Linked DNA regions of Sus scrofa. The protein of the gene in region 1 purifies or fractionates together with the protein of each later gene. This does not show direct contact. Links are inferred from orthologs where the notes say so. Each region holds a gene or a part of one and is shown in the gene's direction. Other genes may lie near its edges.

Evidence for each region. Proteins that work in one complex are often made in the same cells at the same time.
Region 2: the proteins of CDC25A (region 1) and SKP1 purify together in Homo sapiens (affinity purification with western blotting; 6 studies listed by BioGRID and IntAct, with this or other methods). This does not show direct contact. The link is inferred for Sus scrofa from reciprocal best matches to the Homo sapiens genes CDC25A and SKP1.
Region 3: the proteins of CDC25A (region 1) and CCNB1 purify together in Homo sapiens (affinity purification with mass spectrometry; 3 studies listed by BioGRID, with this or other methods). This does not show direct contact. The link is inferred for Sus scrofa from reciprocal best matches to the Homo sapiens genes CDC25A and CCNB1.

Annotation. Positions count from the first base shown.
Region 1 is NW_018085145.1:105,463-109,465, forward strand, and holds part of CDC25A (M-phase inducer phosphatase 1), read left to right. Parts: intron 1-881; coding exon 882-924; intron 925-1,527; coding exon 1,528-1,564; intron 1,565-2,044; coding exon 2,045-2,146; intron 2,147-4,003. UniProt on the Homo sapiens protein: Tyrosine protein phosphatase which functions as a dosage-dependent inducer of mitotic progression. Directly dephosphorylates CDK1 and stimulates its kinase activity. Also dephosphorylates CDK2 in complex with cyclin-E, in vitro.
Region 2 is NC_010444.4:136,462,500-136,466,502, reverse strand, and holds part of SKP1 (S-phase kinase-associated protein 1), read left to right. Parts: intron 1-395; coding exon 396-469; intron 470-3,329; coding exon 3,330-3,473; intron 3,474-4,003. UniProt on the Homo sapiens protein: Essential component of the SCF (SKP1-CUL1-F-box protein) ubiquitin ligase complex, which mediates the ubiquitination of proteins involved in cell cycle progression, signal transduction and transcription.
Region 3 is NC_010458.4:47,341,101-47,345,103, forward strand, and holds part of CCNB1 (G2/mitotic-specific cyclin-B1), read left to right. Parts: intron 1-265; coding exon 266-448; intron 449-4,003. UniProt on the Homo sapiens protein: Essential for the control of the cell cycle at the G2/M (mitosis) transition.

The DNA of each region.
Region 1 (4,003 bases):
GTGCTACCTTGCACTTGACTTGACTTGGTGTTATTCTGTTGAAGGCAATACTTGCCTTGCTTGTCGGATGACAACTGTATTTCCCAAACCCCTGATAAGATACTTGAAATCAAAACTATTCAGAAAATGGGTACTTAATTCTTTCCATGGTTGGAACTCACAGAAAGTTAGCTTGGGTCATCCCTATCTGAATAACCAAGCAGTCGTGAAGTTTGGCCTAAGAAGTTTTAAATTTTTTTGCCCATGCTTGCAGCATGTGGAAGTTCCCAGGCCACTGTCTGGTGTACAGCAGAGTGATTCAGTTATATGCATATATATTCTTTTTCATATTCTCTTCCCTTATAAGTTATTACAAGATATTGAATATAGCTTCCCATGCTATATAGTAGGACCTTGTTAATATCTATTGTATATGTGTAGTGTGTATATGCTAATCCCAACCTCCTAATTTATGCCTTTCTCCTCCCCCTTTCCCCTTTGGTAACCGTAAATTTGTTCCCTTTTTTTTTTTTTTTTTTTTTTGGTCTTTTTGCCTTTTCTAGGGCCACACCTGCAGCATATGGAGGTTCCCAGGCTAGGGGTCTAATTGGAGCTGTAGCTGCTGGCCTAAACCACAGCCTTAGCAACTCAAGATCTGAGCCTCATCTGCTTGTAAATAAGTCATGGGGTTTGGTTTAATTCACTCTCCTCGAATCCTATTTTCTGTGATAATATTTGCAAGTAGGAAAGGATGAATTGATGTGCAAATTGGGGATTTAATACCCCTATGAATTGGGGATCCTAGAGCCTCAACGTCAATTCTGCCGAAAATCTAAGCCATGAGTCTTTATTGACTGCCTTAAAGAAACAGTACTAGTACTATTATTTTTAACTTCCCACAGGCTTCTGTCTGGATTCTCCTGGGCCCTTGGACAGTAAAGAAAAGTATGTATTCACTGCTTTTAAATGTCTGTGCTTAGAAGAAACCTAATTTTTTTTTTCCTGTCTGCTACATGCAGTGACTTGATGTGGGATTCAGTTCCCAGACCAGGGATAGAACCCAGGCTGCAGTGGTGAAAGTCCTAACCTAGGCCACTAGGAACTTCCAAAACTGAATATTTTTTAATGAAATTCCTCATGCTCTGGACTGGAGCTCTGGATTTAGCTACCCCTAGTAAGATTCCTGTATCCTATAAATAGTCTTGTTATCTTTTGAAAATGAGTAGTTTGTATCAGCAGTTTTCAGAACTTTCCTTCCTTTATTTTGGCTGTAATTTTGGTGTTCTGATCCAGTCTCACCCTAACCTTTGTTCTGCCTTCTGATATCATAGTCTTAAGCATGTGTATTTTTTTTTAAGAAAAGTCCAGTGGTAGGGATGCTTGTGAGAGCAGGACAGCTTCAGAAATCTGTTCTTCCATCTTGCCTAAAATGGGAATATGTTTGACTCTTCCCCTACCCCACCAAACTGTAGGTTAGACACTGTGCATCTGCTAATGTGAATATTTCTTTACTTTATTCTCATTATTTACTTTTTGAACTCATTGCAGCCGTGAAAATCCCATGAGGAGAATAAATTCCCTACCTGTAAGTTCTCTTGTTTATTTTGAGCTGATACTTATTCTCTGCCCCTTAGCTACCAGTGTGACCTTGAAAGCAGACCTTAATTTAGACCCAAAGCCTGCTTTTCCTTACTTAGTCTCACTAGCATTCAAAACACTACCTAAAGCCACTTCAGTATTGGCTACTTCTTGGGCTTTTTCCTCCATTTCTAACTATTCAGCTTTATCAAGCCAAGAAGGCTTATTTTTATGCAAATGGTGTTTGATACCTGAGTCCCTCCTAAAAGGGCTGTAGACCTTGTGAAGTTGGTGTAAAGCCATGTTAGTGAGACCCTCTATCCTGTGTTCTCACAAGGTGGAGCCCTAGCCGCATTTACTGGTTACTTAGTACAGTGTGTGAGGAGCTAAGCCTCCCTATCCCACCACTAGCATTTTTTTTCTTTTAGAATTGAATTTCCATTGAGTTTTCATTTATGTACCCTAATTCCTTTTTCCACTTTGATAGCAGAAGCTCTTGGGGTGTAGTCCAGCTCTGAAGAGGAGCCATTCTGATTCTCTTGACCATGATGTCTTTCAGCTGATTGACCAGGACGAAAACAAGGAAAACGTGAGTGTGGCATTAACGTACTAACCTAGGGCAGAGGTCAAACCCACTTGTGTCCAGTTATGGAGAAGTAGCTGGGCTGCTTCCTGGGAGACGAAACCATCACCGAAGTCATGATAGTCTTTGGAGTCCGAGAAACCGGATTGGAATCCTACTGATTGCTATCTGTGATCTTGACTATTTTTAGGCTTTATTTCTTTGTGAAATAGGAGTAGCAGTTAGTCCCTTGTAGTGCTGTTGTGGGAATTACTAAGATAATGCCGATAAAGCATCTCAAATGGTTCCTGGCAGGTAAGAGTTGAACACTTTGTCTGGAAGGGTCTGGCCAGGTCTTTTTTGTGCTGACCCTAGGATGAGTTGGAAGTTTAGGAAAAGGCCTTTTTTTAAATTTTATGATAAGTTTTTTAAAAATAAATAAAATAAAATTTTATGGCTGCACAATGGATTATGGAAGTTCCTGAGCCATAGCTATAGCCTATGCCACAGCTGTGGCAATGGCAGATCTTTTAACCTGCCAGGTCAGGGATTGAACCCACACCTCCACAGTGACCCAAGTCACTGCAGTCAGATTCTTACCCACTGCACCATAGCAGGAACTCCAGGAAAAGGCTTCTTGAAAGAACAGAACCAATAAGTCCCAGGGAATCTCAGAGTAACTGAAATGGCAGCTTAGAGGGTGCATCCAAAAGTCCAAAAACAATGGAGTTCCCGTCGTGGCACAGTGGTTAACAAATCTGACTAGGAACGATGAGGTTACGGGTTTGATCCCTGGCCTCGTTCATTGGGTTAAGGATCCGGCTTTGCCGTGAGCTGTGGTGTAGGTTGCAGACAAGGCTCAGATCCCGAGTTGCTGTGGCTCTGGCATAGGCCTGTGACTACAGCTCCAATTAGACCCCCAGCCTGGGAACTTCCATATGCCGTGGGTGCAGCCCTAGAAAAGACCAAAAAAAAAAAAAAAAAAAAAAAAGTCCAAAAACAAGACAAAGACAAATATCATATGATATCACATATATGTGGAATCTAATAAAAATGATACAGAATAACTTATAAAACAAACTCAGATTTCAAAATCAAACTTATGGTAACCATAGAAGAAACTACTGGGAGGGAATATATTAGGAGGATGGGAATAACATATACATACTACTGCATATGAAATAGGTAATTAACAAGGACCTACTGTATAGCATGGGAAGATCTACTCAATAATCTGTTATAACCTATATGGGAAAAAAGAAAGGATGTATATATGTATAACTTACTCATTTTTTGCTATACCCCTGAGGCTAATACCACATTGTAAGTCAACTATATATACTCCAATAAAACAAAATTTTTTAAAAAGTCCAGGAACACCCTGGTGGGGTGCCTTACATAGGGTAGACACCAAGACTTCAGTGAATCAGCTGTTTCCAGTCTTCTTTCTCACTGTATTTCTGTATCTGTTTTCTCTCCTTCCTCATCTGCTGCTAAAATGCCACATTTTATACTCCTTATAAACATCTGAACTTACTACTTCTGGAACCTACGGCCTCCATGAACTCTCCTAATGATTTCTTTAGCAATTTGTAAGATGTCTTGAGAGAGAATACAGAAATGAGTTTGTTCTGCCTTGAATGCTGGGAACACTGTCAGCCTCCTTGTAGGGCTTTTTATGGAACAGGTCAAAGCTATTGTACTGATGTCTGGTTCTCCCTGCAAGCTTGGCTTCTGGACTTGCCTGATTGGAGCTTCATTCATTCTAGAGGGGAAACAGCGTAAGTTAGAGAGCTCTTGCTCTGGAGTTGTCCAGTCTGGCTATGAAGCCAAATCTTTGACACATCACTTAATCTGTAAGGCCTAGTTTTCTCATCTGTAAAA
Region 2 (4,003 bases), on another chromosome or scaffold:
CAGCTCATGGCAACGCCGGATGCTTAACCCACTGAGCAAGGCCAGGGATCGAACCCGCCACCTCATGGTTCCTAGTCGGATTCATTAACCACTGAGCCACGATGGGAACTCCATTCCTACTTCTTAAGTCGCCTTTCTTCCTAATTAAGAACTGCCTTTTTATAATATTCCTGCATTTCTCTACTCATACAACTTTATATAGTTTTGGGTAGTTCTTGGAGCTGTTGCTAGGAACTGTCTATTTTAAGTGCTTTTGAAAGAACTATTTTTAGTAATGCCCTTTTATAGTCTTTGAGATAGCATGTCTTGCAAGTTACTTGTTTGAGACAGCCTGGTTGGTGTAAATGTTATAATGGAGTTAGAATATAATAGAGACTCTCTTCTGGTTTTCTTAGATTTGGGAATGGATGATGAAGGAGATGATGATCCAGTCCCTTTACCAAATGTTAATGCAGCAATATTAAAAAAGGTAAGGTAGCAAACTCTACACATACATATGTATGCATCCATTTAGCAGTATCTCCGTCATCTTTCTATATCGACACATAGATCATGACTAGCATCCATGAGGACGCCGGTTTGATCCCTGTCCTTGCTCAGTGAGCCAAGGATCTGGCATTGCCGTGCGCTATGGTGTAGGTCACTGACACAGCTCGGATCTAGCATTGCTGTGGCTGTGGCATAGGCTAGTGGCTACAGCTCTGATTCGACCCCTAGCATGGGAACCTCCATATGCTGCTGGTGTGGTCCTAAAAATTAAAAAAAAAACAACAGCCAAACAATTATATAAGATTATGACTAAGATATTTGTTTTAGTTGATTTAACCAGGCTCTGAAGATTTAAATTGTGTAGTCTTTTTCATTAACACATTTTAAATATTGAATTGCTTATCTACTGAATGGGTATACCTCAGCGAGTTAGAGAACACGACCATGTGTTTCCCCCGTCACTTATTGATCAACACTTTTTCCAAGCATAAACAACAGGCCACTCTGTTGAATAGGATTTTAGTGTTTCAGGGCATATGGCTCCATAACAGAGACAGCTGTTGGACTGCTTGCTCTTCTGAAGAAAGCCGGCAGTTTGCACACTGGGGGGAGAACTGGCTAGGCTTGGAGATGGAAGTGGTCAGTTCCAGGTGGGGCCTTCCTCAGGGATTTTGAGAGGTCCTTAACCATACATATTTACATTTTATGCTTTCTCTTGACCCTGGAATGAGATGCAGCTGCGCTGCATGTGTTTCCGTAGTTTTACTACACTTGGCTATTACCAGTCTTTTAAATATGCCTAGTCGAGTTCTGCTGTCAGGCAGCAGAAAGTAATCCGACTGATATCCATGAGTATGTGGGTTCAATCCTAGTGGGTCAGGGATCCCGTATTTGCCGTGAGCTCTGGTGTAGGTCTCAGGCGTGGCTTGGATCCTGCGTTGCTGTGGCGTAGGCCAGCAGCTGTAGCTCCAATTGGTCCCCTGGCCTACGAACTTCCATATGCCACAGGTGTGGCCCTAAAAAGCAAAAAAATAAATTTATATATGTATGTATGTATGTATGTATTGTGCCTAGTCTGGGTAAAAAAACCCTTATATCCACTGTTCTGTATTCTGTGTCTATGAATTTGACTATATTGGGTACCTTATAAAAATGGGATCATAGAACATTTAATCCTTGTGTGTCTGACTTATTTCACTTAGGATAATGTTTTCAAAATGCACCCATTTCATAGTCTAGTAGGCTTGTTATAGGAGTTCTTTATATAGTTTTTATCAATTTGCTTGTCTTTTGTCAATTCTTAGTATTTTTTGGTTCAGAAGCTTTGTATTTTATCTAAGTAAATCTCCTTTCTGACTTCTGGGCATTGTCTTTGCAAACTAACATTCTATTTTATGCCAATACAAAATGCTTCTAAAAGGGCTTTTTCTTGCATTCATTCAAATGTCAGGCCTCTCTTAGGTGCTGGAGGTATAGCAGTGAACTAAACAGACAAAATTGCTGTCCTTAGGGAGTCTGCATTCTGAAGGTGTGGGGGAAGTGTACAACATAAGCAGTATGTCACATGGAAAAGCTTTGGAGTAAAGTGGTATGGTAGGGAGCAGTTGGCTGTTTTTAAAACAAAGATGGTCAGGAAATGCCTTAAGGTGAGAAGATGATCTTTGAACAAAGACATGACTCTATGGGGGAAGAAAGTTCTGGGCATTGGGAGCATGGGCTTTAATTAAAGCCCTTTATGCTTGGCTTTTTCTTCTGGAAATAGTTATTTCTCTTTTTTTGTATCCTGGTGGTATACAATCTATATGTAATTTATCTATAAATATAGAATTTATATGTAATTTATAATTTCTCAGCTCTCCCATTGTCTCTCAGCATTGTTTATTCCCCCGACATTATAAACTAAAAAAATTTTTAATCATACAGAAAAGTTAGATTATACAGCAAACACCCATTCTCATTCAGCTTACTTGGTATTCCTAGATTACTTTTCAAAGGGATTATACTAATTTACACTCTACAGTAGAAGCATTCATGTTATCCTCACACTATTGTCAGTGATTAGTATCAACGTCATGATTTTTTGTTTGTTTTGTTTTGTTTTTTGTCTTTTTATGGCTGCACCTGCGGCATATGGAGGTTCCCAGGCTAGGGGTTCAGTTGGAGCTACAGCTGCTGGGATACACCGGAGCCACAGCAACTCGGGATCCAAGCCACATCTGCGACCTATACCACAGCTCATGGCAACGCTGGATCCTTAACCCACTGAGAGAGGCCAGGTATCGAACCTGCAAATTTCATGGTTCCTAGTCAGATTCGTTTCCTCTGCGCCACGATGAGAACTCCAGCGTCTTGATTTTTATATATCTTTTTGGGGGGCATGATCTAAAGTAGTTTCTGACTGTAGTGTTAATTTTGCATTTAATAAAGCTGAGAATTTCCTCCTCTTTGACTATTCAGACATTTTATAAACTGCCTTTTCATATCTTTAGTCTATTGTAGAGATTTTTTTGAGATTTTATATTTTATGGTGTGGTCATTTGCTGGCTTGTACATGTTTATTTCTAATTTAATGTTTTTTGGGTTTTTTTTTTTTTTTTTTTTTTTTTTTTGCAGAGTAGCTTTTTCATATGGTCATGTATAGTAATCTGACTGCATGGTTCACTGTTACCTAAGATATTCTGTCCTCAAGGGTTGTGCTTTTAAAAAGCTTGGCTACTAACTTGATTATCCAGTTCGACTATAGCTAGTTCTTAGCCCAGTGTATGAATAACCTTGCCCCAGTCCTGGAATGAGTACCTTGTCACAAAATGCCACAGAGGAATGAACTTTTGTTGTAACAGGTCATTCAGTGGTGCACCCACCATAAGGATGATCCTCCTCCTCCTGAGGATGATGAGAACAAGGAAAAGCGAACAGATGATATCCCTGTTTGGGATCAAGAATTCCTGAAAGTCGACCAAGGAACACTTTTCGAGCTAATCCTGGTATGTTTTTTTTTTTTTTTTTTTTTTTTTTTTGTCTTTTGTTGTTGTTGTTGCTGTTGTTGCTATTTCTTGGGCCGCTCCCGCGGCATATGGAGGTTCCCAGGCTAGGGGTCTAATCAGAGCTGTAGCCACTGGCCTATGCCAGAGCCACAGCAACGCGGGATCCGAGCCGCGTCTGCGACCTACACCACAGCTCACGGCAACGCCGGATCGTTAACCCACTGAGCAAGGGCAGGGACCGAACCCGCAACCTCATGGTTCCTAGTCGGATTCGTTAACCACTGCGCCACGATGGGAACTCCCTGGTATGTTTTTAATGCATTGTATAAGACATCTCTAATGCACAGCCTTCAGCACCTCTTTTGAGTTAAAATTGTTAAATTCATTGATACTGAATTTTAATTCTAAATTCAAATGCAGTGCTATATTTAAGTCCATGTATCAGTAACCACATTAAATGTAAATGGTCTAAACACCACAATTAAAGGGTAGAGGTTGTCACATTGGATAAAAAAGCAAGACAGCTGTTC
Region 3 (4,003 bases), on another chromosome or scaffold:
TTACCAGTTTTATTTGGAGGAAAGTCTTGAATATGAATTTGCTTCCTCTCTGTTGTAACTGTTTAGCTGCTGCCTCTAAATTGGCTCAGCCTAAGTTGGCATTTTACTTTTCCTATTATTTCCTGAAGATACACTGAATAAATTTGAAAAGCTAAATGAATTGTATATCTATTCAGCAGGTAGTCTTTTGAGTTGGTACCAGTTATCTGACCTTTATTCGCAGACCGTGTGCTCTTCTTAACTGTTGTTTCAAAATCTGTTTCAGGTTGATACTCCCTCTCCAAGCCCCATGGAAACATCTGGCTGTGCCCCTGCAGAAGAATATTTGTGTCAGGCTTTCTCTGATGTAATTCTTGCAGTGAATGATGTGGATGCAGAAGATGGAGGGGATCCAAACCTTTGTAGTGAATATGTGAAAGATATCTATGATTATCTGAGACAACTTGAGGTCAGTATAGTAGTACAGAATCTTTGTTTTTTGTCTAAGCTGCATCTAGCTTTATCAAAGAGATACTCCATTAACAGTTTAAGCATTTCTAGGCATTCCCATTGTGGCTCAGTGGTTAACGAATCCGACTAGGAACGATGAGGTTGCGGGTTCCATCCCTGGCCTTGCCCAGTGGGTTGGGAATTGCATTGCCATGAGCTATGGTGTAGGTCGAAGATTCGGCTCAGATCCCGCTGCTGTGACTGTGGTGTAGGCTGGCAGCTACAGCTCCAGTTCGACCCCTATCCTGGGAACCTCCATATGCCACAGGTACAGCCCTAAAAAGACAAAAGACAAAAAAAAAAAAAAAAAAACCATTTAATCATTTCTTTTGTTGTTGTTGTTGTTGTTGTTGTTGTTGCTATTTCTTGGGCCGCTCCCGCGGCATATGGAGGTTCCCAGGCTAGGGGTTGAATCCGAGCTGTAGCCACCGGCCTACGCCAGAGCCACAGCAACGCGGGATCCGAGCCGCGTCTGCAACCTACACCACAGCTCACGGCAACGCCGCATCATTAACCCACTGAGCAAGGGCAGGGACTGAACCCGCAACCTCATGGTTCCTAGTTGGATTCGTTAACCACTGCACCACGACGGGAACTCCCCGTGTAATCATTTCTTAAAAGTAGGTTCCACTTTTAAATTCTTAATGAAACACCAAAAATAAACAAGCTGGTGATCAGGGAAAGTTCAAGTGAGTGGGTAATACCATGCTTTAATTTTTTGTCTCTTTCTTTCTTTCTTTTGTTTTTTTTTGGGCTGCACCCCATTTTGATCAGGGAAAGTTCAAGTGAGTGGGTAATACCATGCTTTAATTTTTTGTCTCTTTCTTTCTTTCTTTTGTTTTTTTTGGGCTGCACCCCCAACATACGGAGGTTCCCAGGCTAAGGGTTGAAAAGGAGCTATAGCCGCTGGCCTATGCCACAGTCACAGCAACACCAGGTCCCAGATGTGTCTGCGACCTACACCACAGCTCATGACAACACTGGATTCTTAACCCACTGAGCAAAGCCAGGGATCGAACCTGCGTCCTCATGGATACTAATCAGATTCATTTCTGCTGAGTGCCATGGCTTTTGTAAAGAAAGTCAGATTGAATGATAATATCCATCACAGTTTGGGGTGGGTGAGTCCCAAATTTGGGTTTAAGGAGGCTAACAGGCTGAAGGTACATGATAATAGAGATGCTGAAAAACTATAGCCAAAAGGCATCTTGGATCAGTGTGGCTTATGAGCATGTGCCATAATGGAAGTTGTTCTTTGCATCTAAGAAGAATATACTCAAAAACTAAATTTTTGGACTTTTTGCCATTTCAGCCCATTTCTCAAACTTTCTATTAGTGTCCTTTGCCCTTTCCTCTCAAAAAAAAGGAGGCATTCTGTATGTTAACAACATAAGTTATACAGTTACCAGATGCATCCAAACTGCTTGTTTATAATGCATTTTATTCTAGTGGCATCGTTAATGTCTTTGGGCTTTGGCCTGGTTTGTTTTTGTTTTTTTCCCAGGCTAGGGGTCGAATCGGAGCTGTAGCCACCGGCCTACGCCAGAGCCAGCCCAACGAGGGATCCGAGCCACGTCTGCAACCTACACCACAGTTCACGGCAACGCCGGATCCTTAACCCACTTAGCAAGGTCACGGATCGAACCCACAACTACTTCATGGTTCCTAGTTGGATTCGTTAACCACTGAGCCACTATGGGAACTCCTGGCCTGATTCTTTTGGGTGTCTCCAATTTTCTATAGGATTGTCCTGCAAGAAGACTTCTGCTCTGGATTTTTTCTTCTCCTCTCCACTTTTTTTCCTTTTTTGGTCTTTTTAGGGCCGCACCCATGGTATATGGAAGTTCCTAGGCTAGGGGTCCAGTTGGAGCTGTAGCTGCCAGACTTATACCACAGCCACAGCAACATGGGATTTGAGTTGTGTCTGCTACCTATACCACAGCTCATGGCAATGCCAGATCCTTAATCCAGTGAGCAAGGCCAGGTATTGAACCTGCGTCCTCATGGACACTAGTTGGGTTTGTTACTGCTGAGCCAGGTGGGGAACTTCCTCTTCTCCCTTGTTTTTGCTTTTTCGGGCCACACATGCTGCATATGGATGTTGCCAGGCTAGGGGTCAAATTGGAGCTGCAGCTGCTGGCCCACACCACAGCCCACAGCAATCCCAGATCTGAGCCGTGTCTGTGACCTATCCAACAGCTTATGGCAATGCCAAAACCTTAACCCCCTGAGTGAGCCCAAGGATTGAACCCACATCCTCATGGATACTAGTTAGATTCATTACTGCTGAGCCACAATGGGAACTCCCTCCCTTGTTTTTAAAGTTTAATGTTCTAACTTCAGAGGAGTGGGTTCAGCAGATGCATAAGCTGGGTTTTGATGGTTCACTCTTATTTATGGGTTTTTGGGGGTTTAAACCCTGGAGCCAGAGTGGTAGCATATTGGTTCCAGCTGATCTGGGAGCTGTTGCTATTTTCTTCTACTTCAGGTTCTGGATTTAGAGTCTTAAGTGAAAAGATATGAGGTGATACTATGGTATCTTTATTAGGGAAGAAGTGGGGACAAGGTATGGGCCAGTAGTGGTGAAATGGACATAGTAAGATCTGCCATTGTGAAAACCTGTCACATTGTCCTGTTGAATGTTTGCTTTATTTCTTCCTCAGCAAAAGAGCTGTTTGCAATGACTGTATGAATAATCCAATCACTAGAGGGATTTCCTGTTGTGGCTCAGCAGTAACGAACCTGACTAGTATCCATGAGGACACAGTTTTTTTTTTTTTTTTTTTTTTTTTTTTGTCTTTTTGCTATTTCTTTGGGCCGCTCCCTTGGCATATGGAGGTTCCCAGGCTAGGGGTCGAATCGGAGCTGTAGCCACTGACCTGCGCCAAAGCCACAGCAACTTGGGATCTGAGCCGCATCTGCAACCTACACCACAGCTCACGGCAACGCCGGATCGTTAACCACTGAGCCACGACGGGAACTCCAGGACACAGTTTTGAGCCCTGGCTTTGCTCTGTGGGTTAAAGGATCCAGCGTTGTGGTGAGCCGCAGTGTAGGTCACAGAGATCGCTTGGATCCCTCGTTGCTGTGGCTATGGCGTAGGCTGGCGGTTGCAGCTCCGATTCAACCCCTAGCCTAGCAACTTCCACATGCTGTGGGTACAGGCCTAAAAAAGATAAAAACAAAACAAAATAATAAAAAAGAACTGTTAGCGATCCTAAATGTTTTAGAGCTACTCTGAGGGGACATTTCTGGTCAGAAATGTCATGTGGGGAGTTCCCGTCATGGCGCAGTGGTTAACGAATCCGACTAGGAACCATGAGGTTGCGGGTTCGGTCCCTGCCCTTGCTCAGGGGGGTAATGATCCGGCGTTGCCCTGAGCTGTGGTGTAGGTTGCAGACGCGGCTCGGATCCTGCGTTGCTGTGGCTCTGGCGTAGGCTGGTGGCCACAGATCCGATTCCGACCCCTAGCCTGGGAACCTCCATATGCCGCGGGAGCGGCCAAAGAAATAGC